Mytilus edulis: one gene and its partners. The protein of the gene in region 1 binds, or shares a complex with, the protein of each later gene. Links are inferred from orthologs where the notes say so. Each region holds a gene or a part of one and is shown on either strand. Other genes may lie near its edges.

Region 1 (9,984 bases):
CAAAAACTTAACGCTTAGCAATGGACCGTGAAAATGAGGTCAAGGTCAAATCAAACCTGTGTAACAGACATATAGGCCGTGTTCACATTGACCTAAATTCGGTGTTGTGTTAGTGTAACTCACACGTAAACTAAACACAATTGCGTTCCCATTGATAAAACTCAATGTTTACATGCAGTTTAAATCATGTTTTATCTACATGCAGTCGATAGTCAATGTAGTCCTTGTGTAGGTTAAGTGTACACAAAACTAGGCATTTAGGACATTAGTTTTACCGTGTATATATTTAAGGAGGAATCTATTTTTGAGTAAAATTGATATTTTTGATAATTATAAGTATAGTTCTCTACACCAATTGTTGTCTAAATTTTACAGATTTTTTTTGTTCAAAAAATTTAACGTACTTTATTAACCCCTGATCAAGACTCAAAGCAGCATCATTGCCGAACCCATAAGGCAGCAACCAATTGAATTTCGGGGGGGGGGGGGGGGGGGGCTATTATAGTTGAGTATAAAAAATAAAGGCAAGGGGGTGGAGGTGGTGAGCTATGGATTTTGTTTTGGAAACAAAATATGTTTCCAGTTTTTGGCCCTGAAAAAAATTTGTTTGTTTCACCCTCAGCTGCCACTATATATAATGCTAAAATTGATTTCGACTTGTCACCAAAATTTGTCCTGAAAAAAATCAATAGCCGACGCCCCCTACCCCCCCACCCCTCCCCCCCGCGCTCCCCCTCCCCCTCCCCAAAAAATATAGTAAATAGTTGCTGCCTAATTCATTTGAAAAGGTCTTCCAGAATCATGACTAAAAAAAGTGTGAGGTAAATGATAGGTTTGTCTAGTATCTCAGATCCGTTAAATAACACTTAAAATAAATTAAAAAAAACGTTACCCTATTCCTTTACCAAATACTCATTGGAGAAGAAATACCATTTGAAACAAACAGAAAAGATAACCAGATGCTCCGCAGGGCGTAGCTTTATACGACCGCAGAGGTTGAACCCTGAACGGTTGGGGCAAGTATGGACACAACATTCAAGCTGGATTCAGCTCTAAATTTGGATTGTGATTAAATAGTTGACACAGCATAGGTTTCTGACACAGAATGAATGTGTTCTAATGAACTTAAAATTTTTGTTTTCTCTTAGAGCAATTCACTATGCTGTTGAATATTAATCCTCTCAAAAAAATGTTTGAAGAAATTTTCTTTTTATTTATGAAATTTCAAATGAGAAAAATTGAACCCAATTTTTTTAATCACATCCCCCTTTCCCTTATTCCAAAACTAATCTCAATTAAAATTTCTAATGGAGTTTGCAACAATAACTACTCATTTAAATACATCATAAAATATTAAGATGTAAAAAAAATGCTTGTTATCACTGAATGGTAAAGATTATTTTAATTTATCAGTTGGTAGTAAAAAGTGAACATGCATTGTATATTGTATATAACAAAGATTTAAGTTGATTCTGGACAAAGAAAGATAACTCCAATTAAAAAAAAATCTTGCTATTGCACAATATTTTGCAATTAGATATTTCTTGCTTACTATTCTGGACAAAGAAAGATAACTCTAATTAAAAAAAAATATTGCTATTTCACAATATTGTGCAATTAGATATTTCTTGCCATTGTGCAATACTTTGCAATTGAAAAGACTTGCTATTGCACAATACTTAATATAATAATTTTAGATCCTGATTTGGACCAACTTGAAAAATGGGCCCATAATCAAAAATCTAAGTACATGTTTGGATTCAGCATATCAAAGAACCCCAAGATTTCAATTTTTGTTAAAATCAAACTAAGTTTAATTTTGGACCCTTTGGACTTTAATGTAGACCAATTTGAAAACAGGACCAAAAATGAAGAATCTACATACACAGTTAGATTTGGCATATCAAAGAACCCCATTTATTCAATTTTTGATGAAATCAAACAAAGTTTAATTTTGGACCCTGATTTGGACCAACTTGAAAACTGGGCCAATAATCAAGAATCTAAGTACATTTTTAGATTCAGCATATCAAAGAACCCAACCAATTCATTTTTTGTCAAAATCAAACTAAGTTTAATTTTGAACCCTTTGGACCTTAATGTAGACCAATAAGAAAACGGGACCAAAAGTTAAGAATCTACATACACAGTTAGATTCGGCATATCAAAGAACCCCGATTATTCAATTTTGATGAAATCAAACAAAGTTTAATTTTGGACCCTTTGGGCCCCTTATTCCTAAACTGTTGGGACCAAAACTCCCAAAATCAATACCAACCTTCCTTTTATGGTCATAAACCTTGTGTTTAAATTTCATATTTACTTATACTAACGTTATGGTGCGAAAACCAAGAAAAATGCTTATTTGGGTCCCTTTTTGGCCCCTAATTCCTAAACTGTTGGGACCTTAACTCCCAAAATCAATACCAACCTTCCTTTTGTGGTCATAAACATTGTGTTTAAATTTCATTCATTTCTTTTTACTTAAACTAAAGTTATTGTGCGAAAACCAAGAATAATGCTTATTTGGGCCCTTTTTTGGCCCTTAATTCCTAAACTGTTGAAACCAAAACTCCCAAAATCAATCCCAACCTTTCTTTTGTGGTCATAAACCTTGTGTCAAAATTTCATAGATTTCTATTAACATAAACTAAAGTTATAGTGCGAAAACCAAGAAAATGCTTATTTGGGCCCTTTTTGGCCCCTAATTCCTAAAATGTTGGGACCAAAACTCCCAAAATCAATACCAACCTTCCTTTTGTGGTCATAAACCTTGTGTTAAAATTTCATAGATTTCTATTAACTTTTACTAAAGTTAGAGTGCGAAAACTAAAAGTATTCGGACGCCGCCGACGACGACGACGACGACGCCAACGTGATAGCAATATACGACGAAAAATTTTTCAAATTTTGCGGTCGTATAAAAATGTAGTTATCCCTAATATCTCAATCCTTTTTTTCGGCTGTAAGCACGCTGCTGTAGCTAACGTTTTCTAATGCGTAATTGAGACATCTCTAGTATATTCAAACTACTGCAAATTATAAAAATGGCTTTCATAAAGTAGCAACCACTTAACTTAAAACTAGAGGCTCTAAAGAGCCTGTGTCGCTCACCTTGGTCTATGTGAATATTAAACAATGGACACAGATGGATTCATGACAAAATTGTGTTTTGGTGATGGTGATGTGTTTGTAGATCTTACTTTACTAAACATTCTTGCTGCTTACAATTATCTCTATCTATAATAGTACTTTCTGTGGAAAATGTTATTGAAAATCTTCAAATTTTAAGAAAATTGTTAAAAATTGACTATGAAGGGCAATAACTCCTTAGGGGGTCAATTGACTATTTTGGTCATACTGACTTATTTTTAGTTCTTACTTTGCTGTACATTATTGCTGTTTACAGTTTATCTCTATCTATAATAATATTCAAGATAATAACAAAAAAACAGCAAAATTTCCTCAAAATTACCAATTCAGGGGCAGCAACCTTACAACCGATTATCCGATTCATCTGAAAATTCCAGGGCAGATAGATCGTGACCTGTTCAACAATTTTACTTCCTGTCAGATTTGCTCTTAATGCTTTGGTTTTTGAGTTATAAGCCAAAAACTGCATTTTACACCCATGTTCTATTTTTAGCCATGGCGGCCATCTTGGTTTGTTGGCCGAGTTACCGGACACATTTTTTAAACTAGATACCCCAATGATGATTATGGCTAAGTTTGGTTAAATTTGGCCCAGTAGTTTCAGAGGAGAAGATTTTTCTAAAAGATTACTAAGATATAAATCCTTTTCAAAAGAAAAACTATATAAAAGCTTAGTTTGGACATTTTTATAGCAATTAAAAATAAAAAGGATTTTATATTTTTATGAATCATATATCATTTAAAATAATTCATCATATATTCAGTAAAATATGTGTGAAATAACAATATGCTATTGATAAGTTTCCTTGTCGAGATAACCTAAAATACTATTCTTTTGAATAAAGATTTTTTGAAACCAAAAAAGATTATCTCCCCTTCCTACAAACATATTGCAATTTCACAAATATTTTACTGAATATGAAATGTTTTTATTCACATAATGTGTGATTCTTATGAATATAGAATACTTTTCGAAAGAAAAACTATATAAAAGCTTAGTTTGGACATTTTTATAGCAATTAAAAATAAAACAGTTCACCTTTAGTATGGTAATGGCTATAATATATATATACAGATTGATAGACTGATTTAGTAATACCATCAATAAAGTGGAGTTAAAGTCTTATAGGATTGTAAGTATATTTTATTTTATCACCTTGCACTTTCACATTTTGACTGAACAATTTGTTCAATACTCTGACCAGTTGAACAATTTGATTTTATAAAACAAATTGCAATTTGGTCAAAATTTTTAATGAGTTGCAATTGGTAGATAGCAACACTAACAGTCAAGTCACTGTAAAATGTGTGAACAAGATAAGTTTAGTTTCATTTTGAAAAGTAATGATACGGACATTAGTACTGTAAGTGTAGCTGGAATAAGCGATATGTATGATTTGAACATTCATTTAAAGCAAACATAATGTTGTTAAGAGCTTTTATAGTATTAAAGCTGATTGTAATAGCTTGAATTAATAATATTGTATGAATAACACCTCCACGCAATGTAAATATAAAATATGTATCTCTTATCATGATCATTGAGAAAATATGTATGTTTTTTTGTTTGTTTGTTTATTTTTGTATTTGTAAATGTCGGCTGGTATTATTTCTGTCTAGGAATTTACACCAATATTTGATTTTATTTTATTTACATGAGAGACATGGGCAGTTGTCCAGTCATCTGCCAGACTGGAACAATACCAGTTATAGGCTGACTTCTCAGCAAAGCGGATGATGGAATGTTATCTGGTTCTGCTGATTTGTTCGGATTTAAGTTATGCAAAAGTTTTTGTATAACTTGATTTTTATGAATAATTTTTATAAGGACAAGGATAGTAAACTATACAAATCCTTGACATAAAGGATGTATATACAGCCATCGCAAACGAGAGATACGGTAAAGACGGTAAACAATCTTTCATCATTATTTTCTTTGGCCCATTTACTTTATCGCAATAATTATTATTTTCTTTGGCCTATTTTCTTTCTCACAATAATCATAATATGATAATGCATGTTTTTAGAGACATATACATATATAAAAATGTCTCTGCTTTTTTAAAATAAAATACACGATTAAGAACCATTTCTATCAAAGGGTCGAGTTGTATAGGTCGATATTGTAAAGTGCCGATAGAACGTGAATTCATCTGGGTTCCTTATACAAAATACTCACTACCGTCTGTTTGAAGTGAAGCATCGGGATTTTATCAGGATACCAGTTTACAGCCACTATGGCATCTGGGGGCATGGCGGTAAATTCAGGTGAATTTTACTATTTAATTACGGGAAAAGGTTAAGATCTTCTTTGGCTCATATTGTTATTGGCTAGAGCGCTGCTTTTAGATCCCGTGTTTGAGGGTTGGATTCCCACTGGCACCATCCATAGATTTACACAACACCTGTCAAAGTGTCATGCAATATATTTTAAGTTCCTCCTCATTCAGTCCCAGAAAGAAGAAATATTATGGATAATTTATAATAATCCACTGGAACAAATATTACAGTATAAAATTGTTCCTTTAATACGGAATAAAGTTTATGGATATGGCATTATTTACAACAAAGTTTCCAGAACATATATTTTATGTTAACAAATCGAAATTATATGATTTTGTCTGACATGTTTCCTATAAAAATAACAAAAGCTAAAATGTGAAAAATTATTTATGAAATTTCGTATTATAACATTCAAACAATTTCTCATTTGTCCTATATGAAAGAAATCACAAGTACATAATCAGGGGTTAAAAAATCCGCTAGCCCGACACCCGGGACTAGAGCATTTACGCATCAGGCAATCAAAATGTGTAACCCAATATGCCCGACGGACTAGTATCACAAATTTTTTGACGTTTCCAAAATAAAAAGGAAGAAAGTTGAAAATCCTTTCATCACTATTCTATCTTAGCCAATCAGATTCAATTACAAATGTACGTCATCCGAATTCCAAGAATTTGAACTGGTTTGTACACTCGTGGTTTTGTACATATTTCTTTTAAATAGAACAAATAACTCTGGGTGGTCCGGTATCATGTATAAATATTGATTTCTCATACCCTGCCTGTGGTATTGTATATTTATTTGATTGCTTAATGCTAATGGTGAGATTTTTCAATTAACCGTATTGGGGGTATGGAGAATTGATCATTTTGGCACGGACGGCTGTTGAGCTTGAAACCATGCAACAAAATATATCTAAATATTTTAGTACAGGCACCCAAGGAACTTCGTCAATTTCAAAACGAAAAACTGTAGATGAAGAGGGTAATTCGAGGCTGAAAATTCATCCCCCAAATATGCCAAATACGACCGAGAAAAGCAGGGGGAAAAAAATACAGATTGATTCCCCTGGGCAAGGTCGGCTGTTGCTGATGAAAAAACCCCAGAGACGATGCTCTGTGAAAATTGTCGTTATTTCCCCAAGCACGCCAATAAAAAGCCTGCTTTGTATGTGGGAACAACTAAGTTAGGTTAGGCCATAAAAAAGAATAGATTTGTTTGCCCAAACCCTACCTACCCAGAAAAAAGCTGCCTACTCAAATTCTTTTATTGTCCTGATTTGAAGAAGTTTTTTTTTAATCAGATAGGCATGAAGACTAATAAATATCCGATACGTAAATTTCTTTAAAAAAAAAAAAAAAAAAAGAAAATGCCTACCTACCTACCCACTGTCTCAACCTTGGGTAGGGTTTGGGCAAACCAAAATATTTTTAATTGTGGCCTTAAGCACCAACAGAATAAATAGCAGATCAACAAAGAATATTAAATACAGTGTATAATATCGCCTTCAAAACAGTGACACCCACTGTGTTGTATTATGAAGCAAAATCTAATTTTTAAGGCATACTCGGACTAGCCAGTCAGTTTTGATGAACAAGCAGTTCTTCCAACAGGGCTAGTAAAATACGGCTGCCTATAAGTTCTGGGCTAGTTAGCTGTAACAAAATTTTTTAACCCCTGCATAACAAGAACTATTTAGTATAAATAATCTAGTCTTCACCTTGTATTACTGTACACCTAATCGCTATTTGTCTGCCATTACTGACATAAAACAGATTCCTGTAACATTTTGACATCATAATACAAAATATCTGACGCCACAATGGAAAAGTGATTGTTGTATGACGTCTATAGTACAAGTGGGACAGATTCTCAGGTCAGCCGGGGATAGTGATAAGGTGTAATTACATGTACATGTATAAGTGCATAATTTCATTCTTAAGGCAGTGTCTGAGAAACCCTCCAAGCATTGACGAGTTGCCAAATTGGCCTGTGTAGGCTAAACACATCCACATTAAGTTTTATTATAGTAAAATGTCATTGCATCAGGGTTAAAGTGTGAAATATACACAGAAATTATCAGTGATTTTCCGGTTTTGTGAATGCAGTGAAGAGAAGGGCAACTTATAATTTATTAGTTCAATCTAAATTTAAAACAAATATTGCAAATGTTGTATATCTGTATGTTGAATCCGTACTTTCTGGAACTGTTGTATTGTCTTAACCATGATTGTTGTGATGATTACATGTATCAGCCTCTTTTGGCATCTGAATCCAAAGTAAAAGGAACGTAAATTGAAAGCTCTTCCTTTTTACTAAAGGAATAAAACTATACTGTCTGTGTTAAAGAAAACATGATAAAGTTAAAATAAAATGTAAATGCACATTTAAAGAATAAATTTATACTGAATTTGCCTTTAAAAAAATGCTATGTGAGACAATTATTCTAGTAAAATAGGAAACAGAAATCTAAACTATAAAATATCTTCTTTTCTCTAAAGTCACAATATACCAGTTGCGAGGTCATGGAGGTACAGTGGTTAGTTGAATCTAGGTGACTATGTCTGAATATTGATCACAAGCTGAGACCTATTATAATAAAGAATTAAAATTCCATAACAACTGTCTTTGTTATTTAATTACTTTTCAGCTACATGTAAGACAATTGTCAATTCTGATTTAAAATAAGATTAAAACTAGATTTAATCTATGTAGAATTCTCTACTAATACACATGCTTTGTTTACTACTTTATGCACATGCATGAAATTTCAGATTGGACACTTAAATCATAAATTCAAAATGATTTCATGCTAAATAAAACAAAGTGCAACTATTATCATTAATATTCATACTATCAAAGGTAAACAATTAAAAAGCTGATGATTTCCTGTACATTTAATAAACAAAACTAATCCCAGAAATGAGTCAAGAATTACTTGCTTTATTATTGTTGCAAAACTTCCAGTTCAAAAGCAGAAAAAACGTTAGCAATGTCTGAGAAATTTATCATGTTGAGTCTTTCAAATCATTTCATTTTCAAATTGTTGCCTTCCTGCTCTTGAACGACGAAAATTCATGAAGTAAATGCAGTTAAAACTAGTTTGTTGATGCTATGAGCTTGATGAGTATAAAAATACTCAGTAATGTGATTTTGACAAATTTTTTTTTGAAAAAGGGCACCAACTTCAAAATGACCGAAATTACATGTAGGTGAAAAAATGTCAGAATCCTTTGGTATTATAAAAGCCCAAAATGCCACTGTAAACAATGTCAATATGCAAGATTTGTGACTTTTGATTAGGGCAAGTGAGTTAAGTCATTGAGGTTGGATGGGACTAATAAGATGTTTCTTGCCACTTGTCTGAATGGACACTTGTGTTGGAATGGACAAGTTAGAAAAAATGATACTGTAAAGCCAGTGAAAACATTTTTTTTATGGACTTGATAAAATATAAATATAATTTAGAAAAACACATTTCACATTTATATAGGCTCCTTTCCTTTGATAAACAGTTCTCTTTATCTTATTGATTATAAATTTAAAAGCAATATATTCTTGCAGAGGCCCAGCTATGGGGACCATATAAAGAACTGGAGAGAACAGTTGATGCAGCAGTTCGAAGGAAGCAGGTGGATGCAGTGCACGACCTTGAAGTTGCATTGAAGAGACATAAACCTGATTTTATTTCTCTCCTTAAAAATCCAGTATGTACATGTATATTATTAAGAAGATGTGGTTTGAGTTCCAAAGAGACAACTCTCCATCCAAGTCACAATGTATTAAAAAATTAACAATTTATAGTTCAAAGTACAGTATAAACCTCCACAAGGAGCCTTGGCTCACACTAACAGCAATCGGTAAAGGGCACCAAAATGACCAGTGAAAAACAATTCAAACAGGAAAAACTAACACATCAACAGTCTAATTTTAGTATATAAAAAATGAGAAATGAGAAACGCCTATGAACATGAACACAACAACAAACAACAACCACTGAACAACAAGCGTGTGACTATGAACAGTGCATAGAAATGCAGCAGGTTAATTGTATACATTGTAGAGCACAAATATCAATTTAGGAATTAACAACTGAGAAAGTTAAGTGTTGGTCCAATGTCAATTCAAATTTTCAACCATTGTAAGTTTGACATCACATTGGCACAATATAAAAATCAGGAGATGTGGTATGATGCCAATGAGACAACTATCCACAAGAGACCAAATGACACAGACATTAAAAACAATAGGTTACTGTTCCTTGAGAGGGATTCACAACACTGCATTACATGTATTGATATGATTGTCTATTTAGATTTATATCATACATTTTGTACATATAAACAGAAGACGTGTATGATTGCCAATGAGACAACTCTCCACAAGATACCAAATGACACAGATATTAACAACAATAGGTTTCTGTTCCTTGAGAGGGATTTACAACACTGCATTACATGTATTGATATGATTGTCTTTTTAGATTTATATCATACATATAAAAAGAAGATGTGGTATATTTGCCAATGAGACAACTCTCCACAA
Region 2 (11,089 bases), on another chromosome or scaffold:
CAAAAATGTTAAGCAAAGTAAGATCTACAAATAAGTCAATTTGACCAAAATTGTCAATTGACCTCTTAAGGAGTTATTGCCCTTTAAAGACTTTTTTCACAATTTGTTCATCATGTTGACTTACTTTAAAAATTCTTCTCCTTTGAAACTGCTGTATCAATTTCAGCCAAACTTAGGCTAAATGAGTTTTAGAGTTTCAGAGTATCTAGTATAAATTTTATATTTCATTTCCTTGTATGTCAAGAAACATAGCTCCAATGGCTAAAATAGAACATAGGAGAAAATGAATTTTTTTTTGCTTTTGAAGAAAATAGGACGATTCAAAGAACATTTAAATAAATTGAAAAGCCAAAATAATCATTGATGAGAGATTAAACCAAAAAAATTCAGGTGAGCGATTCAGGCTCTTGAGAGCCTCTTGTTTGTATACAGATTTATAGTTCGTGATATAAAGTATTCGTCCCATGCTCAGATTAACGAAAAGTTGTTTCTATGCGAAGAAACAAGTGTTTGAATTACCCGATGTGCAGCCATTAATATTTTGATCAGTAATGTCACAGAGATTTCAGGTATTTGTCCACCAAACAGCAGCGAAACAACAGTGAAAAATACAATTACCCAACAGACAAACTTACTAGTGTAAAGTTAGCCGTCGATAATAGCCGGTGCTAATATATTCATGGGGTTCAGCAACTTTTGTATAGCTGGTAGCTATAGATAGTTAAAGAAAAATTAGGATCCTATGAATTTTGTGTTCGTAAAAAGGCGAAGACTTATAGAGTTTGTTAAGGATCTGACGAAATAATTTACTAAACTTTCTACAAAATTTATTTTATGATATTGTACCCTCTTTTGTGATTAAAAAGTAATTTAAATCGAGGAAAAGAATGTGTTTATTTCTTTGTCTTAAACAACAAGAAATATTTATCAATCGGGGCCAATTATAGCCGATTATACGGTATGGGTATTTCTCATTGTTGAAAGCATTACAGATGCCTATCACTACTTACATCCACTTCATTTGAGCTTAAATGGACAATCATACCATAAGAGAATCAAATTTGAACTATTCTACATATTACAAAGGAGGAAACATAAAGGCTCGGGATACCTGACGAGGATAAGCCTAGGTCTACATGACCATAACCGAAACACCCCTTTTTTTAGTATACACACAACAATACTACTATACAATCATGCAATTGTGAATTTCTAGAAAAATATGGAAATAAATGCAGAAGAATGTATTCCATAAGCGGAAATATTTATCATACACTGAGTTTACCAGATCTTAGTTACTCTAAATGTATGCACATAGGAAATTGATTTAAAAACGAAGGATTATGATAAGATATACTGGATTGGTCTTGGACCCGATTGATTTTAACTGAGTTTACCAGCTCTTAATTACTCTAAATGTATGCACATAGGAAATTGATTTAAAAACGAAGGATTATGATAAGATATACTGGATTGGTCCTGGACCCGATTGATTTTAACAGTATCCCATAAGAGAAATCAAATTTAAACTATTCTACATATTACAAAGGAGGAAACAAATAGGCTAGGGATACCTAATGAGGATAAGCCTAGGTCAACATGACCATAACCGAAACACCTTTTTTTTAATACAGACACAAAAATTATTATACTACAAACATGCAATTGTGAATTTCTAGAAAAATACGGAAATAAATGCTGAAGGTGTCACACCTGTGAAATTTTTAATATAAGTCGCATAATGCTCAGATAGGCTGTTTTTAACTACAAATTGACTAAGGATTAAGAATAAAGCAAAATAAAAGATTTCTAATCAACTTTTTTGTCTCTTTAGGTGTCACACCACCAATTACTCCCTCAAATTTAGTAGGCCTACTCGAACAAAAAATAGTGCATTTGATGTCATTGTTTACTTAAACTACCCAACAAATTTGCAGAAAGGAAACTTTTGGTGAAAGAGAAATATATCTAGACCATTTTGAGCCAAAATTTACTTGTCTATGAGTTTGCATTAAAAATTGAGGATTAATGCGCTCCATAGTATACTAATTTAAGATTTCAAGAAAACCAGGGGTTATTTTTAGTGGTACATCAGTTCGAAAGGTCTCTTCTTTCTTATATGGCTTTAAAGGTATGTTGAAAATTGGCATGACAAAAGGTGATGCCTGGTTTGTAAGAGGTTAAACTTAAGATAAAAAATTTAGAAAGCTATGAAAATTGCAAAATTTGGTTGAACAGATACTTAGGGACTTTTAATTGGTGGTCTGACACCTTTAAGCAAAATGCGGTGAAACATCAAAATCAGAAAACAATTGGTTTTTTTGTGTGTCTTAACTGATCAATTGAGATAATAGTAGCCACATTTCAATCTTTTTGGGAGCAAAATGTCACATATTGCAAATTTAGAGCCTAAAACTTGAGTTTGTGCTATTTTTAGCTTTTCCCACCACAATATGCTTTTATATAAAAAATGCCCTAAATAATGTTATAAATGCACAGAAAGTTATTTTGTGGTGTTAAACATTGAAACATAGGTTGTTTACTACCCCCAAACAAATTTTGTCATGCAGATTTAATGAAATTATTTGATTTTTACCCCTTATATCATTGCGTCATAATATGTACTTGGCAGATAGCATAGCCTAATGTAAACGCTGCAGAAACTCACAAAAGTACCATTTATTATTCCAAATGAAATTTTTATATCTTAAATTTTATCAACTGATGTAAATAAACACAGTTAAATGACCATGGCTGCACTTTTGATCAATTTGTAGCCCATGCAAATAAATTAGACATAAATAAAATACAGGATATAAACTATAAACAAGAAAAGAGTTCATTCTCAAAAAATATTAAAAAAGAACTAAAAGATAGCTTTGAAAATATTTTCTTTGAAAAATTAAAATTAACTAATGAAACCAGTAAAATATTCGTGTAGTCGTAAAATAAAAAGAAAATATGAAATAGACAAATACAAATACATTTCTAAAAATAGTTTTGAAAATAGAAAATTATTATGTAAAATGCGAGTAAGTGACCATTTCTTGGAAATAGAGAGGGGTAGATATAAAAGAATTCAAAGAGAAAATAGAATATGTAAACATTGTAATATAAATGCGGTTGAAGATGAAACCCACTTTTTCTTAAAATGTATACACGAAGATGCTCAAGTGATAACACCATACTATGCTGAATGAGTATGTGTAAATGCTAACAATGTAAGCATCAATAAAGATATATTCTTGGACTTCTTTATCATGTTCTGTATAACCATTTAGATTCTACCACCTTTATCTACACTCCGTCCGTATTGTGGTATTTGGCTGCATATTCCAATTTTTGTTTGTCATGCAATTTAAATGCGAGTAAGTGACCATTTCTTGGAAATAGAGAGGGGTAGATATAAAAGAATTCAAAGAGAAAATAGAATATGTAAACATTGTAATATAAATTAATAAATTAATAAATCTTTACGTAATCAGCTTGAAAAAGATATAAATAATATATGTCCAGAATTCTTTTAATTGTCTGGAACAGATAGATTACAATTAATTCTATCTTCATTTGATATTATGCAACTTACTGTTCCGTTCATTAAAAAGTCATTTGCACTGAGGGGAGTGGACACGACGCCTGCATAAATATTACTGTTTTACCACTTTATATATGATGTTTAATATGTTCATTTTTCCATTGTGTATATTGTATTGTATTGTTTGTATGTATGCCTTCAATCCCCAGGGGTATAAATGTGCATTTCATGAATAAATAAAATAAAAAAAATACAAAATACAAATATTTTTATTGGCACAAACTCATTAACAATAAATGGTTAAGACCTATGGCATTACATATATATGTCGTGTACAAGTTGCGATTTTGTACAGGTTATAACATGTACAAAAATATTGTACATGTTATAACTTGTATAATGCAAAAATACAAGTTATAACATGTACAAAAGTACCTCGTACATGTTATAACCTGTACAAAATATTGCTTAAAAATGGTTTTAACTTGTACAAAATCGAAAAATAAGGATATATTCTATTATCGCAACAGATGTTATTAACCTCAATAATATTTTCATAACGTTTTTATTATTCCTTCATGTTAGTGTGTTTTGTCCTTTTTTGATACAGTTAATGTCCAGTGGTCGGTATTACGAAGCATTCCTAAGACTTGTCATAAGATATATCTTAGGACATGTCTTATGATCCTCTTATGACTATCTATGGACATATCTTAGGACATGTCTTATGATCCTCTTATGACTATCTATGGACATATCTTAGGACATGTTATAACCTGTACAAAATCGCAACTTGTACACGACATATATACAACTATACTGAATAATTGACATGGTAGAATGAAAGGTTCCATGATAACATATCATGCTAAATTATGAAAAGTTACAAAATGATGTATCATATAAGTTCACTATTTCTTATATTTAGACACTCTGATATGAAAGAGGAAGACAGTCTAAGTAATAATGCTGAGCTATTATTGACCAAAAGAGATATTTTTTCATCAGCGGTAATGTTACGCTGTATTTGAAATATAACATTTATTTTATTTTCAAATATTTCTCGCTTTGAGGTATATCTATTACATTATCATAAGAAATGTTGTTCATCCTCAATTTCCCCATTTTTACAGACAGGACAGTGTCTTTCCTCTCTAGGAACATTTAAAAGATGTCTTCCCCTTTCAATCATTAAAGGATGTGCACTTATGCGTATTTTGCATATTGCTGCTCTATCATTTAAATTGTTTAGTGAATCAACATATGATGGTCTTTGACCCATTTTGTAGACTTGACGAAAGAAACTGAGCTTAGAAGACTCCTGTGTGTTTGCATTTTGATTTTGCAAGCACTGATCATAAATTCTCTGTTTTACTTGTCCCAAGTGCTGCTTTGTTAGACAACTTTTTTTCAACAAGATATGAATATCCTAATTTTTGTAAAATGCACTGAGTTTTTAGGATCCAGGGGTTTGAAAATCTTGTTGCACAGAAAATTTGATTTACAAGTGTATTTTCTGATGAAAGTATATGCTCTAGAAAATTTATGCTTGAAAAAACAATTTTATTTTTGAGTGGAATTCTACCAAGCTCAGCACGACAAGCATCATTTGAAGCCTTGCAATGAACACCAAGTGCTTCTTTAATAAATTTAATGTGTAATTTTTCAAAGGGATCAGAGCCATTAATGATGAGTTAACACCCCAAATTTCAGAACAGTACATCAGTATAGGTGAATACCGTGATATTAATGTATCGAACAATTTTTCAAGTAGTCTACATGGATTATTCAGACCCACAGTTTTCTTAATTTTGAAATAGGCCTTTCTTGCCTTTTCCATAAGAGTATTATTTATGGCTAAATTGAAATTACCATTACATTTTATTACAATACCTCAGGGAGCTACCATTTGATTTTTATGGGGGGGGGGGGGGGGGGCTAGGATCTGAGACTACTATAACAGTTAGTCTCAGCTAGGATGAAATTTGAAAAAAATAGGCAGGACAGGAGTTTTAAGTAAAAAAAAAAGGCAGGATGAGACAATTGCAAAAAAAAAAGTCAGGACAACAATTTAGGTAAAAAAAAGGTCAGGATAAACTAAAAAAAAAAAGGCAGGACCGAACTGAGTGAAAAATAAAAAGGCAGGACAGAGATTACAGCTAAAAAAAATGCAGGACAAAATTTTTCATCCTAGCCCCCCCCCCCCCCCTAAAAATCAAATGGTAGCTCCCTAAATAAGAATAATGACTTTAACAGTTTCAATACAAGAATCATTGTAAGTAAATTCGTCCAAAAATGTTTTACCATTTGAATTAAATACAATGACTTATCTGTAGTTTCTGTAGTTTCTGTAGTTTCCAACAATCACAATAATCATATAAAGCATTAAGACTATTTTGTAGTCCTTTTTTACTTTGAGACAATAAAACAATATCATCTGCATATAAAAGAAGAATATTTAAAGAAACATAAAGGGGGCCCGGGGGGGGGGGGGGGGTGCTGCTGACTAACCTAAGGGGGTCCCGCTCCAGTCATGCTTCAGTGAATCGTCCTATATAATCAGACCCCCGCCTATGGGTGTTAGTCCATTAACAATTTCATAGGTTAGAATTTATGTGTTGTTTATTTGACTTATCAATCAAAATAAAGTTTTCTTAATATCTGATCTTAAAGCTGAGAAATTGAAAATGTTATGTTGAATATTATATAGCTAGTGATTTTGAATCGGTGATCTGACACCTACATAGTAAGTAAGTAAGTAAGTATTTTATATTGGTTTGAAATCCAAAATTATGCCTAAGCCTAACTTCTAATGGCCTAACTCGCGGGAAATTGAGAAAGCGAAATTGAACTCATAAAGACATTCCCGTCCAGCAAACGCAAAGGTCAACGACTGTAGCCAACGTACACACCACGGGGAATACATTTATATTTTTTATTTTTTATATTTTCAAACTAAGTATATATAGACATATAGACTTATCGAAAACCCTATTCTTTACGAAGTGCTCCTGTGAAGGAGGGATTTCCTAATACAGATACAGAATCGCCCTATTGGGGCGAAATGAATCTTAGTGCGAACGACAATCGGGGCGAAGTCACCTGAATACGGATGATAAAAGAATGGCGGAAAGCATGAGTGGATGTACATACCGGGAAATTTCAATTTCATCTAGTGTGGGAACAAGATGGAAAGAAATAAACGTCAACACAGGTATGTAGTTGACGTATTGCAAACGGGATTGTCTTTTACACTAGTTGCCATTTCATGCATTTAGAACGGCTTCTTTTTATATCACCTGGCATAGATCTAACATTTATTTTCGCTTTACTTCTTCTACCGGTTACACTGGGGTAAAGCTGATGACCGTCCTTCTTCTTCTTTATATACAGAAAAACATCAACTGGTTGATGATTACTTTCCGGCGCATGCCTGGTTTAACAATATTGTTAATGATTAAAATATATATTTTTGGTTTCTTATAATTTTTCAATTTTTATGATACAAATGTATATGTAACTGTAAGTAATATTTTTCAATTTTTATTTTTAATTTTTGGTATAAGATAAAAACAAGATACATATTATACATGTAGGTGTTTGTAAGTGTCAAGGAGCATCTCTCTAGTGAGTTTCTCCTTGAAGCACTCAGTAGTGGTGCTGCAGGCTATTGGTTCTGGTAATTTGTTCCAGTCTTTTATAGTTTGGCAGAAAAATGAAAATTTGTAACTGTCTTTGCTGCATCGAATTTGTCGGTATGTTTGTTCGTGGCTAGACCTGGTGTTTGATTGGCTTTTAATTAATATGTCAGTATATGTGGTATGGCAATTTTGTTGTTTGTTATTCTATGGAACATATTTAATCTGCTTTTGAGTCTCCTTTCTTGTAATGTTGGCCAGTGGAGTGTGTTAATCATGTTTGTTACACTTTCAGTATATTTGTAGTTTGAGCATACATATCTCGCTGCACGTCTTTGAACTTTTTCTATGGAGTTAATGTTCTCTGTTGTGTAGGGGTCCCAGACAGTGCAGCAGTATTCAAGTTTTGGTCTAATAAGGGCTTGTATGCTCGGTCTTTGATGGTTACTGAGTTTATTTTAAGTTTCTTCTGGTGAATCCAAGGGTCTTATTTGCTTTAGATGTCATGTTCTGAATGTGTTTGTTCCATTTTAAATTTGATGAAATAGTTATACCTAAATATTTTGCATTTTCAACTGACTCAAGAATGTGACCGTGCATGTTGTAATAAAAATGGATAGGTGTTTTCTTTGTGGTCACTCTAAGTATGTTGCATTTATCAGGATGGAACTGCATTAGCCAGTCTTGTTCCCATTTGATTGCTCCTTCTAGGTCTTCCTGGAGTTTAGGCAATCTGATGGTGATTTTATCTGTCGGTAAATGATGCTATCGTCAGCAAAGAGCCTGATTTGACTATGATGTAAGTAGTCAGGTAAGTCATTGATATATATCAAAAATAGTATTGGACCTAATACAGTGCCCTGAGGAACACCTGATGTAACTGGTATGTTATCAGAGGAATGGTTTTCTAGCATAATTGTTTGTGTACGGTTTGAAAGGAAAGATTTTATCCAGTTTGCGGCTTGATCTGATACACCGAAAAATTTAAGTTTATATAGTAAACGGTTGTGTGGAACTTTGTCAAAGGCTTTTGCGAAATCCATGATGATAAGATCGGTTTGTATATTTTTGTCGTTATTTGAACATAGTTGGTGAATTAGTGATATTATTTGGGATTCGCATGATCTATTTGCCCTGAAGCCGTGTTGCAAGTCATAAAGTATGTTGTTGGATTCAAGGTGTTTCATAATGTTGCTTGCAATTATGTTGCTCTAGTAATTTGCATGAAATACATGTAAGTGAAATTGGACGATAGTTACCAGGATGATGTTTGTCTCCTTTTTTGAAACAGGTGTTACATTTGCGTGGTTCCAATCGTGAGGTACTTTTCCTGTTTGCATTGATTTTGTAAAAATTAGAGTGAGTATGTCTGTGCATGTGTTGATGTTTTCTTTAAGCACTTTTCAGTGATGTTATCAGGTCCTGTTGCCTTTTTTGGGTTTATATTTTTAATTAATTTATAGATGCCTTCTCTGTTGATGTCTATGTCGTCCATTATTGGATGTGTTGATGGACCTTTGTCAGGGATAACTGTATTGGTCTCAGATGTAAAAGCTGATTTAAATTGTTCATTTAATATGTTAGCTTTTTTCAAGGGATCTGTATGAAGTAGACCTTCACTCCTAAGAGGTGCAATACCAGTGTTTTCATTGTTTTGGCCTTTTATGTATGAAAAGAGTTTTTTAGGTTTGTTTGTTAAATCTCGAATTTTCAGGCTCTTGTATTTCAATGTCAAAAATCATGTTTTCGATATAATTCCAATAGGCATTTCTCATCTCTTTCTGTAATTGTGTTTTAATTTGTTTAAATTTTTTAGTATGTTTGCTATCATGTTTTTTCTTTTTATAAAATTTGTTTTTCTTATTTATCAGTTTTTTCAATTTTGAGTCTATCCATGGTAGGTGGGTTTTATTTCCTATTAGCTTAGTTGGTATATGCTTTTGGATACTTTCTGTTGTTTTTGTTTTAAAGAAATTCCACATATTGTCTATATCAAGTTCTAATTTGTGTTTTTCCATATGTGTGTATGTTTCTTTTAAGTCTTTTCCAATTTTTTCCCAGTCTGCTTTCTTGTAAATCAATACTTTGTGTGGTGACTGTTTGGCTTTCGAAAGGGAAAGATTTATTTCACTGAAGATAATGTCATGGTCACCTAGTGGTGGTAATGTTTCTACTCTGTTTAGTAGGGATGGATTTGACATGCACAGTAGATCAAGTGTGCGTTCATTTCTTGTTGGTTTGTCAACTACCTGTGTGAGATTGTGATCTTGTAATATATCTAAAAGGTGTTGATGAAGAGAAGGATCTGGTTTGCTAGGTATTACTGATGAATTTGACCAGTCAATATTGCCTAAATTGAAATCGCCACTGAGCATGATATTTGCACTGGATATGTTGCATATCCTATTTAGTGAGGTACCTAGATGTTCTAGTGATTCCCCTTTGTCTGATGGTGGTCTATAATATGCTCCAAGATAGGTGGTTTTATTTCCCGTTGGAGTTATTTTTGCCCATATTAATTCGCAATCTGTGTCTAATTCAGGCACATGTGATGTAATAAGTGTGTTTGTGATTGCGAGTAGCACACCTCCATAGCCATCTTTCCTGTTTTTGGTGTAGATGGTGTATTTGGATGGAGAAATGTATTCATATGCTGATGTGTCATTTGAAAGCCAGGTTTCAGTACCAAATATAACATCAGGTTTGCATGAGTCTATCATCTCATCAATTTCTGGCTTTTTGTTTTTCATTGATTGAAAATTAATAGTGAGTACACGGAGAGGTGGAACTGCATTCACGGTCATCCCAAGATGTCGGATGAAAAATTAGGTCAGTTTCTGTATTGTCTGTTAAAGTGTTTCTATATCCTTTTCTTTACAAATCATACATTGAAACGATGTAAATTAATAAAAGAATCACTTGAAAATCACTAATTACTTCCCAGAAATGTGCATGAAACGGGAAATTCGATTTGAAAAAATCGTTAAGATGACCGTAAATCATAATCAAAATATTTTCAAGATGACCGTAACATAAAACAAGGATGACCGTGATTGGTAAAAAGATGACCGTAACTTGTAAAGGATGACCGTTATTTGTAAAGACTGACTGTAATTTATATAGGACGACCGTAACTTTTATAGGATGACCATCAATTCTAAGAAATATCCGTATTGTATTCAAAGCTTTTTTGTTGAGTTTGTCGATCTCAATAGGGGCTCGGTTAGCGGATATAAATATGTTTCATAAATTTCTTTTTTTAAACTGTAATATAATTGGCCATATTTAGGATTTATAACAATGATTAAGTAAATTGCATATTTCTCGTAAACAATGAAATATTTATTGATATCGACGTTAAAATTTTAACACAAATTTACAGCGATACGACGAAAATTTGAAGAAACATGAATGTGTCCCTAGTACACGGATGCCTCATCTACACTATCATTTTCTATGTTTAGTGGACTATGAAAATGAGATAAAACTGTAATTTGGCATTAGAATTAAAAAGATCATTCCATAGGGAAAATGTGTACTAAGTTTCAATTTTATTTAACTTGAAGCTGGACAAACGGACAAACAAACAGACGAACGGACGAACGTACGCACAGACCAGAAAAACATAATGCCAATAAATGGAGCATTAAAAACATTAATAATACATACGAATATTTGGTAATCGAGCCCATGTGTATGGGTCCAGAGGAAGCAGATTAAAATCTTTATTTGTCTTGATATATGCAGGCGGAAACACTTTTGAAATAGAACAAAAGAATCGAAGCTCTGTGTTTATCGAGAAAGCGATAAAAGTTAACTGTAATGTTTGATATAGTAACAAAATTTTAAAAAGTTAATAGAAACAAATAAAACGACAATTTTCTTATTTTAAAAACACCATTTGCATAAGTTTTCA
Region 3 (10,347 bases), on another chromosome or scaffold:
AAAAGTCAGTGTTGTACATGCATATTAGTAACTGTGCGCTATAAAGTCAATACAAGGCAAAATTGTACAAAAAGTATCTTCTGTTAGACAAGAAACATTTTAGTTATGTTTACATGACGTACAAAGACATTTATTGACAAATATCTATATACACTACAGTTTAGACCTACCAAGCATGAAATTACAAACAGAAAAGTATTACTTTTGTTTTAATACTTGATGTAAACTGCTGTTGCGTACCTCATATGAAAGTGTACCAATGTACAATCAGAAAAAGATAGTCTTCTTTGATATATGACACGTCGCTCTTTTCATGTTAATTTCTGTATTATACGTGAATAATACATAACCAGGAATAATTCCATGACTGACTACTTGAGAGGCCGTTATACATGTATGACATGTATGACAGAGAGCTGACACTATAAAATTGCCCTATCAAATTCATGCACAAATTGATGAAAGTGCTCTGATAAGAAACAAAAGTACATTTAAAGATGTCATGTTATCAGTACAATTAAATTTTTTTGCTTGCATTGATAATTTATAACACACTGGCTAACGTTTCTTTTATGCCTATATATGTTTATGATGATTGAAACCTGCTACAGTAACATGCAGAGTCAGTTTTATAGGGTTTAGTCCAGTGGGCTCCCTCTGTAACAGTACGTGTTCCAAACTTATGATAATGACTAGCCACTATGTATATAAAACGCAATGCAGTAATTCGTTCTGAAATGTGTTGTCAGTTCTTTTTTGCCACAAAAAAATGTTTTGCACCTGTTTCCCGAGATTGAAAGTTTTTGAAAGAGTTTCCGAAGATGCAAATTCGCATATAACTATAATGACATAATTTACAAGAATAAGATTTTTTTAAATTTCTTTGACAATTGACTGAAGATAAAAAAAAATACAGAAGTTAACATACAAACACATTGTCAACTGCCGTTATTCACATTGCATTACAATGTCCATCAAATAAAACAGTTAAATTATGCTTTTTCGTCAATTGAAACTTGAGTGAAAATCAATAATTATTACGTTTAAGAATGAATAAAGTCCTTAACCATTACAACATTGTCTATACATGACAAAAATAAGAACACAACTCGATGCATGTGTACAAAAAATCACGTTCTGATATCGTAAGTGACGAGTAGTAGTAGTAGTAATAGTGGCGAGTACCGAAGTCTCGCCGCGGAAGAGATTACGATAAACCGCGAGATTCCAATCCTTCTTACTATACAAATCCTTGCATAAAGTAACAACTAATAGTGTAATAAATAAATTTGTAATGAAAAAAATGTTTCAATTTTTGCTGAATTTGTTTGTACCCTCGAAACCTCCTTAAATGTTCAGACACTTACAATGGATGTATACTTCCTCCAACAGCCTTTTCTGCTGCATGTTTCTGTAGCATGACAAAAATATCTAAAATAGAAAAATAACACATTTAAGTGTATACAGTCAGCTATCAAATATGTTGGTTTTTTTTTAATTTTGTCAGAAATTTCTCGTTTTACATACTTTTTGTATCAAAATGTGTTCCAATGTAGTATGAAATTGGAGCTTTGGACATCTTTAAAAAAAATTATTGGTAAATAACTTATTCACTGTTTATTCAGACTTACAGAAAGATACTTTAATACTAGATTGTGGTTATGAATTTAGCAGGGTACAATAAATAAATAAATGAAATTGATTCTGGACACAACAGTCTGTATTACAAATTGAATTTGGTTGATTTACAAGAATTTTTACACATTGCCCCACTAGTATGGCTTAAAAGGGAAATAACTTAAATCTTGTCAATGGAAAAACTATGCATAATCATTATTTTTCGTTTTCAGGTATATGCTTAAGCTTGTAATCATGACTTAGATTTGACTTAGTAGGCAGCCGTCAAAAGTTTCAATTTTTTTTTCTTCATTATATCTGTTCAATACAAAATGAATAATTTATGCTTTTATATCTTTTTTTCTAGACTTATGCATATTAAACAGACAATTTTGTTCAGGGATTGACAGTTTTTTTAAATGGATGCCATTAAGAATATAAGATCCAATAACTCACTATGTTAGTCAATGAAAAACTGTTTCATGATTTGTGTTGATTTGTATTCCAACAACTCACTATATGAGATTCAAAACTTTCTCTTGATTAAGATAGATCTACTTACTATGAGATTCATTTACAAGCTTTCTCATGACTGGATGATATAAATCTATATCCCATCTCACTTCCCTGATCTCTTGTAATCTTCTACAGTGTAACTGATTTTCTACAACAGAAAATAATACAAACATTTCAGTGACAAGAATATACAATACACATAATGACAAGAATACATTTACACATTATGACAAAAATACATAATAGATATTATAGGAAGATGTGGTAAGAGTGTTAAAATGAGACAACATTCCATCCAAGTCACAATTTATAAAAGGTTAAGATACACATTGTGAACAAATTTCATACAAATTATTATGTCCATATATGGTCTCATGAAAAACTCCTATCGATCTGTTGACCAGAAAAAAAACTGTCTAAGAGAAAAAAATCAAAGAAAAAGGTTAAAGCAAAGAAAACATATGAAGATTAATTAATGTGATATTTAATCTATAATACAAGTACATGTAACAAATACCTGGATACAAGGTGGGTTTTCTTCCAGGAAATACAAAAAGCTGGTTCCCAAATCCCCATGTAGACTGTAGCCCTGCAGTACATGCTGGGTCATATATTGTCTGAAAATGAACAAAAAGTATAATCATTAACAACAAAATTAATGCATATATATTATACAAGCCAAGGTCTTCAACACAGAACAAAATCAATAATGTTTAGCAAAGATGTAAAAGGCCAATGTGAAATAAGGATAATAGGGAATTCATTTTGTAGTAAAAAAATCTAATTATATGTTTTTCATGTCTCTCATACATTTGCTTCCTATGGAACAACTATATAATAATTGATTTCAAGATTGATTTCTTCTGTTTTTCTTTTTTACATTGTACATGTTGTACTACATGTATGTGTTTATCTAATCCAAATGTAATAAGAAAGTCTTGTGTCCTTGTGTTTCACAGCACACTGTGTTCAAATGACTTTTTGTTCAATAATAATAAATTAATCCTAAAATTCAAAACAAATGTCAATAGTGAATACACTTCCTGTATCGGACTAGTGAAAATTTTCAATATTTTATATCGTCATAAAAGGACAAGTTTTGATATTTAGATTCAGGACTAGAAGATGTAAAAGTTTTTGGCGCAGACTGTCCAGTCACCACTCTCACTGAATACAGATTCCTGACTTGGAACAGGAGCATACATTACAGAATTATTCGAGGTGGCAAGGCAACATACAAAAAAATAAAATTGCCTTTCAGGACAACAGGGATCTCCATGGCCTGTTTAACGATGGCGCCCCGCCATCGTTCAAATGTCTCGCGCCATCGTCAAATGACCTGCGCCATCGTTAAATTGTCTTTTGCTATCGTTCAAAACTGTTATCGTTTTTATAGCCCGACAGCATTGTTTTTAGCAATTATAATCAAATGCATGTAATTGCATAAACCTCAGGCTTATATTATAATTCAATACAGTTCTGACGCCTGAGGGATATCCGGATAAGATCGCTAATCACTTGTACAGGTAGATCAACAAACCAGACAGGAGAATACTATCTGAAGATAGACGATTCATTTGTCGAATTATTCAACTAAGTTTCCGCAAATGCTTATGATAATTTAGATTAAATAAATCAATTAATAATCCAGTTACAGACCATGAAGGCTTGGCTTTTGAATGGTTAAAAACGGCAATTATTAAAAGTATTTATACTTCTATTTATAATGAAAATTCAAATAAATATAATTAAATAAGCAATGAATTAGCCTGTTCACCAATCCTTAGGTGGAGGGATTAAATAGTTTCGATCGCCCTTCACTGTACAACATAGACACAGTAGTTCCTCCATCGTTTAATTTTCATCTATGGAGATCCCTGACAAAAATACATGATCTTTCAACTCCCAAATATTACCAATTATGACACCAGTCTTTCCCATACTAGGAAAAAAAATAACTGACTTTGCAAACATGTAAATTATAATGTTTTTATGACGCAAACTGTGTTTTTATTCGACTGTTTAGGAAAAAAGATTTATTCATATGTATCAGTTGTTTGTATAAACTTCATATTCTATATATTTCAGCAAGATGGAAGCTGATCCAAAGAGTACGTAAATAGAAAAATATTTGTTTTAAGATTTCTTGAGAGGGTCAAAATCTTTTTATGAAAAGTGGTAAAAGGTTCAGAAAAAGACGTGATTAAATGAACAAATAACAACATTTGAAAGAAACATTGAAGCCGAAACTTGTTGAAAATTCTGTTTGATGTAACAATTGAATTGAAGTGATTAAATTATTAAAATGAAAACCTGGCAATAGACTTTTTCCCGCTCGGCCATTTTGGTTATTTCCCTTTAATAAGGGGCATTCTAAAATAAATATTCTGGATCTGATGCTATGTTTCCTTTTAACTTTACATTAAAAAAAAAACTTTTGTATGCAATATTTAATAAAATTATGATTTAGAAACTGGTTTTTTGTTGTACATATCTAAAAAAAAAACAACCAGTTTTTAGTTATTTTACAAAACACCAAACTATTGAGATCGGAGTCAAGTACCCATACTAGAACTTGAGGTCAAAATTCAGAATGGAACTTATGAAATTTATATCTGCTTCCCAAGTGAAAAATGTTCTTACATTTGAATTGCTTATTCCACAAATGGAAAAAGCTCTTGCCAAATTTTCAGACAAAAAAGTTGTTCAACCTGTAAGATCTGTTATTCCTGTCAAGGAATCTGGTGGGTATGTATGCACACTATATACTTATTTACAACCCTCCTCCCTGAGGAGCACCATCATGAGTTATGATGGAAAGAAGAACATTTGTCACACTGTATTAGCACATATCAATAGAATTTTTAAGCCTGGCTGTCACATGACTTACTACCAGAAAATTAACCATTCCCAAAGAAAAAATGAATTACAATCCATAAAAAACATACACACATGCACTCACTTCATAGGGGCTTGTAACCCCAAGGGTGACTGGGGTATAGAAATATGGTCACTTGGTCTTCTCCCGACCGGCAGTAAAACGGTTGCTGAAGTGGAGCCTCCGTTTGGCTGTGCGGGATGTATCAAGTTCGCAGTCACGTCCGTCAGAAGGGGACGTTATATCCGATGCCTCCTGTAAAGAGAGTGCCACGCTCTTTGCACGTTAAGAACCCTTGCAACAACTCTTTGAGGGGTCCGTAGGTGGCCTGTTGCAAAGCAAAATTTCTGTCCCTATCCAATATACCCTAATTTTCCAGTGGCAGTCCAAATTTCCCCGACCATCATCCTAGATGGCCTCTCTTACAACAACCTACCTATTGTATTTATTGTGAACTTGTTCTCGTCCTGAATATGCATGAAATATTTGCCACTGGACGTTAAGCAACCAACAATCAATCAATCATAGGGGCTTGTATAGTATATAGTGGTCAGATGAGGTAAATCATTTAAGGTTCATCATAAGGAATTGAAAAATATGGCTGTGTTTACACCTCCAAAATTACTATGAGTACAGACAAACTGGTACATCCAGGAAAGTTTTAAGGCATGGCAGGAACTAGATATATAAAAGTTATATGAAGTCTACGTTTCAGAAAATTAAAAATTTACCTGGATTTTGATGTTCATTTTTTTCCAGTCTGCAGAAGATAGCAAAATAAACAAACACCTGAGTTTCTTTTGATACGGTCCACTCAGTTACACAATTAAACCTGTTAAATAACCTATTGTTTACAGGTGTCTATTGTCCATCTATTGTCCATTTAAATCAATACTACTCACAACATTGATTATATGAGGGGAGCTTCTCAATCGTTTTCACTACTTAGTTAATTTTTGCACCTTCTGCAGGAACGAAAAAAAATGGATAGCAAAATCTAGAAAAGTTTATAATTTTCTGAAACATAAAATGCATTTAAAATTTATATATCTATATATCTGCCATCCCTTAAAACTGTTGCAGGTGTATAGGTTAGTCTGTACTCAGAGTAAAATTTGGGGTGTAAATACGGCCATTTTAGCCAAAAGGTTATGATGAACCTTAAATGCAGTCACCATCCTATATAATACATTTATAGATATAAAAAAAATAAAAAAACCAAGTTTCTTCCTACCAAGAAAAAAATTGAGTTCAAATGTTCAAAGATTTGGTTTCCTAATGGGATGAAAAAGATTCCGTTTGACTTTAGAATCAAAGTCACAATAGTCAGGAGGGGGGGTCGGAGGGGTCCTGATCCCTTAATCCCAAATTTAAAAACATGAAATCCTGAGGTCCCAAGTTTAAAGAAATTTAAATCCTGACATCCCAAAATTCGAAAAAAGAATTCTTGAATCCCGAAAGTATCAATCCCGAAATCCTGATCTTAAAAACACCAGATCACGGAGTCCTGGTAAAGGTCCTTCCCCTTCAGTCAGGGGTAAAAGTAATTTTTATTTACTTGACACAGTGATATTAATTTATTTGTTTATAAGTAAATTTGTAGGATACTTATACAAGTGTATTTTATTTACTTGTATAGGTAAATAACTTTTTGGCTTAGTTATGTCATTTGAAATTCAGATTTTTTACTAAATACAAGTGGACGTGGCCAGGTACTTGTACATCCAAACAACATAGACAGTAGGTACATATCTGAGAGTACTCACAGTTAACTGACAGCTAGTTCAAAGCAAAATTTTGAAAAATTACTTGTACAAGTAGAACCCCTGACTGCACAACTGCTTCAACTGCTATTGGTACACTGATATTTTGATAAAAATTTGTTTTCAAAATTGACAATATCAGAACTGTGTGTCCAACTTTTACCAAATTTGAAATGATGAGATGAACCACTGCATTTTGATTTTTAAGTCATTATGTCAAAGTTCAAGGAAACAGCAGCAATTGATAGAATTATACTCAACAGTATAATTAACCATCATCAGATTATCTGGACAATTTCCCTTGGAAAGAAAAGACCCTTTTGGTTTTTTTTGTCAGTATCTCATTGAGATACATGTACATGTTGTACTGACAAAAAAAAAACCCCAGAAGGGTCTTTTAGATACTGACAAAAAAGAAAAGGGGCTTTTTGATACTGACAAAAAAAAAATTAGGGTCTTTTCCATGTGTTGCCTTTCAAAGTGAAATTGTCCAGATATTTTGATGGTGGTTAATTTCATTGTTGAGACTCATGGGTAAGGTCTAATGAAAAAAGAATGCATTTTGGGGAAATTTGGTTTCAGGACAAAATCTTATAAACCAAAATCAGATTTTTGCCTTTTCAGGTGAATAAAAAGAACCCACTGATCTTTAGGTAAAAGGTCAAGAGTCTTACAGGTATGCATTTAATTAATTTTTCAAAAAATCTATGGTACCACCATATCTGATAATGGACAACTTTGGAGTTTGATGCATTTTTGTCAAAAACTTGGGTTTTAGTGAACATCATTTATGGGTTTAAGGGCATCATCACTTCCATTCCCATGTTGAGCAAGTGGTTGGAAAAAAATGATGCTGTATTGCAAGAATTATTATAATCCCATACAAGGTTATAGTTTTGATTTTAAGTACCATGAAGATGTAGTCAGATAAATTTGAAACTTAGTATACCATATAAAAAAGAAGATGTGGTATGATTGCCAATGAGACAACTGTCCACAAGAGACCAAAATGACACAGAAATTAAAAACTATAGGTCACTGTACAGCCTTCAACAATGAGCAAAGTCCATACTGCATAGTCAGCTATAAAAGGCCCTGAAATGAGAATGTAAAACAATTCAAACGAGAAAACTAACGGCCTTATTTATATAAAAAAAATGAACGAAAAACAAATATGTTACACATAAACAAACGACAACCACTGAATTACAGGCTCGTGACTTGAGACAGGCATAATGTGGCGGGGTTAAACATGTTAGCGGGATCCCAACCCTCCCCCTAACCTGGAACAGTGGTATAACAGTGCAACATAAGAACGAACTATAAAAATCAGTTAAAAAAGGCTTAACTCATCAGATGGACAAAAATACAAATACAAGTGGACGTGGACGGGTACATGTATATCCCAACAACATAAAGATACTAGGAACAGATCTGAGAGTACTTGCATTTATCTGACAGCTAGTTCAAAGCCACTAACAACTAATAAAAAAATCATGCATCTTAGACTAAATTACCAATCTGTCACATCCAACATCCAATGGATTTAGTGTAAAGATGTCATAAACAGTCAGAGAAAAACATGACCTTGTGCAATGCCGAGATACAGTTATCGACAGATTGTAGATCCATGAATGTGTATATGTATACATTTCATTATGATGTGGACTTTACAAAATATATGCCAGATTAGGATTTTGACCCATATTTCATGGTTCACTGAACATGGAAATGATACAATATCATTTATGAGCATGACATTGTGTCCTATTCATTATGCTCTACAACATACTCTTGTTTCTTATATATCAAATGTTTATAACTTAAATTTTTTTTTTCACAGATTTTTTGGTTTGATGCCATCTTTATGCTCTGAAGACAATGTTCTTGCTACTAAACTGGTATCATTTTATCCAAACAACAAGGATGTCCCCACTCACAATGCAGTTATTGCCATGTTTAATGCGTCAAATGGAGTACCTGAAGTTGTAGGTATTAAAAACAAAATAAATTCATTTATGTAACTTTTTTAATGATAGTAATGTACTACTATCAGAAGCTGGTAAAAAAATATGCAAGAAATCTTTTATCAATTCAGCTTTTACTGGGGAGCAAAGGAAATGGTACATTCTCGTGCTGGTTTTGATTAATTTATGAAAATGATAATTCTCCTATTCAATTTGTAAATCACAGATTTTACCTCAACTAAAAAAGGCATTACACAAAAGAAGAGATGTCATTATTGTATTGAGGTCAGTTGAGTAAAGTACCATAGTGTCATTAAAATACATTATAAGTAAGTTAGGAGATGATGCACCATGGTTAATTCATAGTGCAAAATTAAGTTTAGTTGTAAACATTTTCCAAAAAAACATCATTGTGGTACCATATGTCTGATCCTCAATGTTGTTTAAATACAGATAGTTGATGGTGAAGTTATTACTGCTATGAGAACAGCAGCTGTATCTGCAGTCGCTACCAAGGTAAACTAACATATAATTGTTCTGTGTAAAAATTATTTTTTATTTTAAATAATAACTTTTAGTATTCTAAGTATAAGATAAATGTATGAGTAACAAAAATGTATTCTGAAAAATATTATGATACATTTGATACAGCAAAATCTCTGTTTCTTGTATATTTAATAAGAATTTGGTAGACTTATTTTGGGGTATAGAAAGTTGCGCAAGGTGTGCATGTCTGTCTGGTATCTGACTTTGACCTCATTTTCATGGTTCATTGGGCTCTTATTTAAGTATATTTCTTAGATATAGCAGTGGCGGATCCAGAGGGGGGTGTAGAGGGCATACGCCCCCCCCCCCCCCTTTGCTTGGACTTTTTTTTCCTGTGTACTGGCCGGTCACGTACCTACCGCGGTAGCCCTCGACGGTATTTAATTTTTATGCGACAATTCTTTACGTATAAAATATTTTTTGCTGGTATTAACTGATTATGTCAAAGTAAAATGTGATTCGCTATGGAGTTGACCAGTGCGTTAAAAAACTGTCACTCTGTCATTTTGAAATCAAATTACAGTTACAAATTGCTTAAGCTGAGGATGACAATCATGAAACCTTCAAAGTGACACAAGATTGAGAAAGAACGTATTGACTTCTATTTCACTATTACACCAAACAGAAAGTAATACTCTATTACCCTCTCAAGAAAAAAAGTTCCACAGCAATATTGTTTACCTACGAAAACATGTTTCACCCTAGTCTGAAGTATGAACCATTTGATTTGAGGAGGCAGTCTGAGATATTTGAGAGAAAAAAATCTGACTCTGATTTTTGCCTTGAACAAAAATTCTGGCCGTATCTGGATTGAAAACAATAATCTTGTCCACTTTTTTGGTATTAAAAACGAAATTTCCATCAGAATTATTTTGCATTAAATGAAGATAATGAATAAAAACCGGGCATATTTTTTTTGGGGCCGAGGTTTGCATGTCTGACTGGAATGTCTGTTTCGCCGAACTGATATATTGAATACTTTTTTCAAGCCAAGACTGCAACCTGTCTGCTGGGTGTGGCCTTTATGTCTTCTTTTGTCGACCGTCACTCATAAATTCGT

What was found.
Region 2: nuclear pore complex protein Nup205-like (region 1) and nuclear pore complex protein Nup160-like share a complex: the UniProt entries of both Drosophila melanogaster proteins name them as parts of the nuclear pore complex. The link is inferred for Mytilus edulis from reciprocal best matches to the Drosophila melanogaster genes Nup205 and Nup160.
Region 3: nuclear pore complex protein Nup205-like (region 1) and nuclear pore complex protein Nup85-like share a complex: the UniProt entries of both Drosophila melanogaster proteins name them as parts of the nuclear pore complex. The link is inferred for Mytilus edulis from reciprocal best matches to the Drosophila melanogaster genes Nup205 and Nup75.

Annotation. Positions count from the first base shown.
Region 1 is NC_092353.1:65,265,285-65,275,268, forward strand, and holds the start of nuclear pore complex protein Nup205-like, read left to right. Parts: upstream 1-5,266; 5' UTR 5,267-5,390; coding exon 5,391-5,421; intron 5,422-9,003; coding exon 9,004-9,146; intron 9,147-9,984. UniProt on the Drosophila melanogaster protein: Plays a role in the nuclear pore complex (NPC) assembly and maintenance, but with limited role in NPC permeability. Required for specific nuclear import pathways such as Mad import.
Region 2 is NC_092350.1:78,082,508-78,093,596, reverse strand, and holds the start of nuclear pore complex protein Nup160-like, read left to right. Parts: upstream 1-6,555; 5' UTR 6,556-6,658; coding exon 6,659-6,749; intron 6,750-11,089. UniProt on the Drosophila melanogaster protein: Functions as a component of the nuclear pore complex (NPC). Involved in poly(A)+ RNA transport. Required for nuclear import of Mad. May play a role in double strand break DNA repair. Essential for nephrocyte development.
Region 3 is NC_092352.1:40,182,184-40,192,530, forward strand, and holds the start of nuclear pore complex protein Nup85-like, read right to left. Parts: upstream 4,535-10,347; 5' UTR 4,477-4,534; coding exon 4,447-4,476; intron 4,387-4,446; exon of another isoform or gene 4,372-4,386; coding exon of another isoform or gene 4,357-4,371; intron 2,751-4,356; coding exon 2,651-2,750; intron 2,282-2,650; coding exon 2,180-2,281; intron 1,432-2,179; coding exon 1,368-1,431; intron 1-1,367. Other genes in the region: ketimine reductase mu-crystallin-like, read left to right, coding at 4,727-4,881, 8,618-8,762, 9,195-9,257. UniProt on the Drosophila melanogaster protein: Component of the nuclear pore complex (NPC) that seems to be required for NPC assembly and maintenance. Required for nuclear import of phosphorylated Mad via importin msk.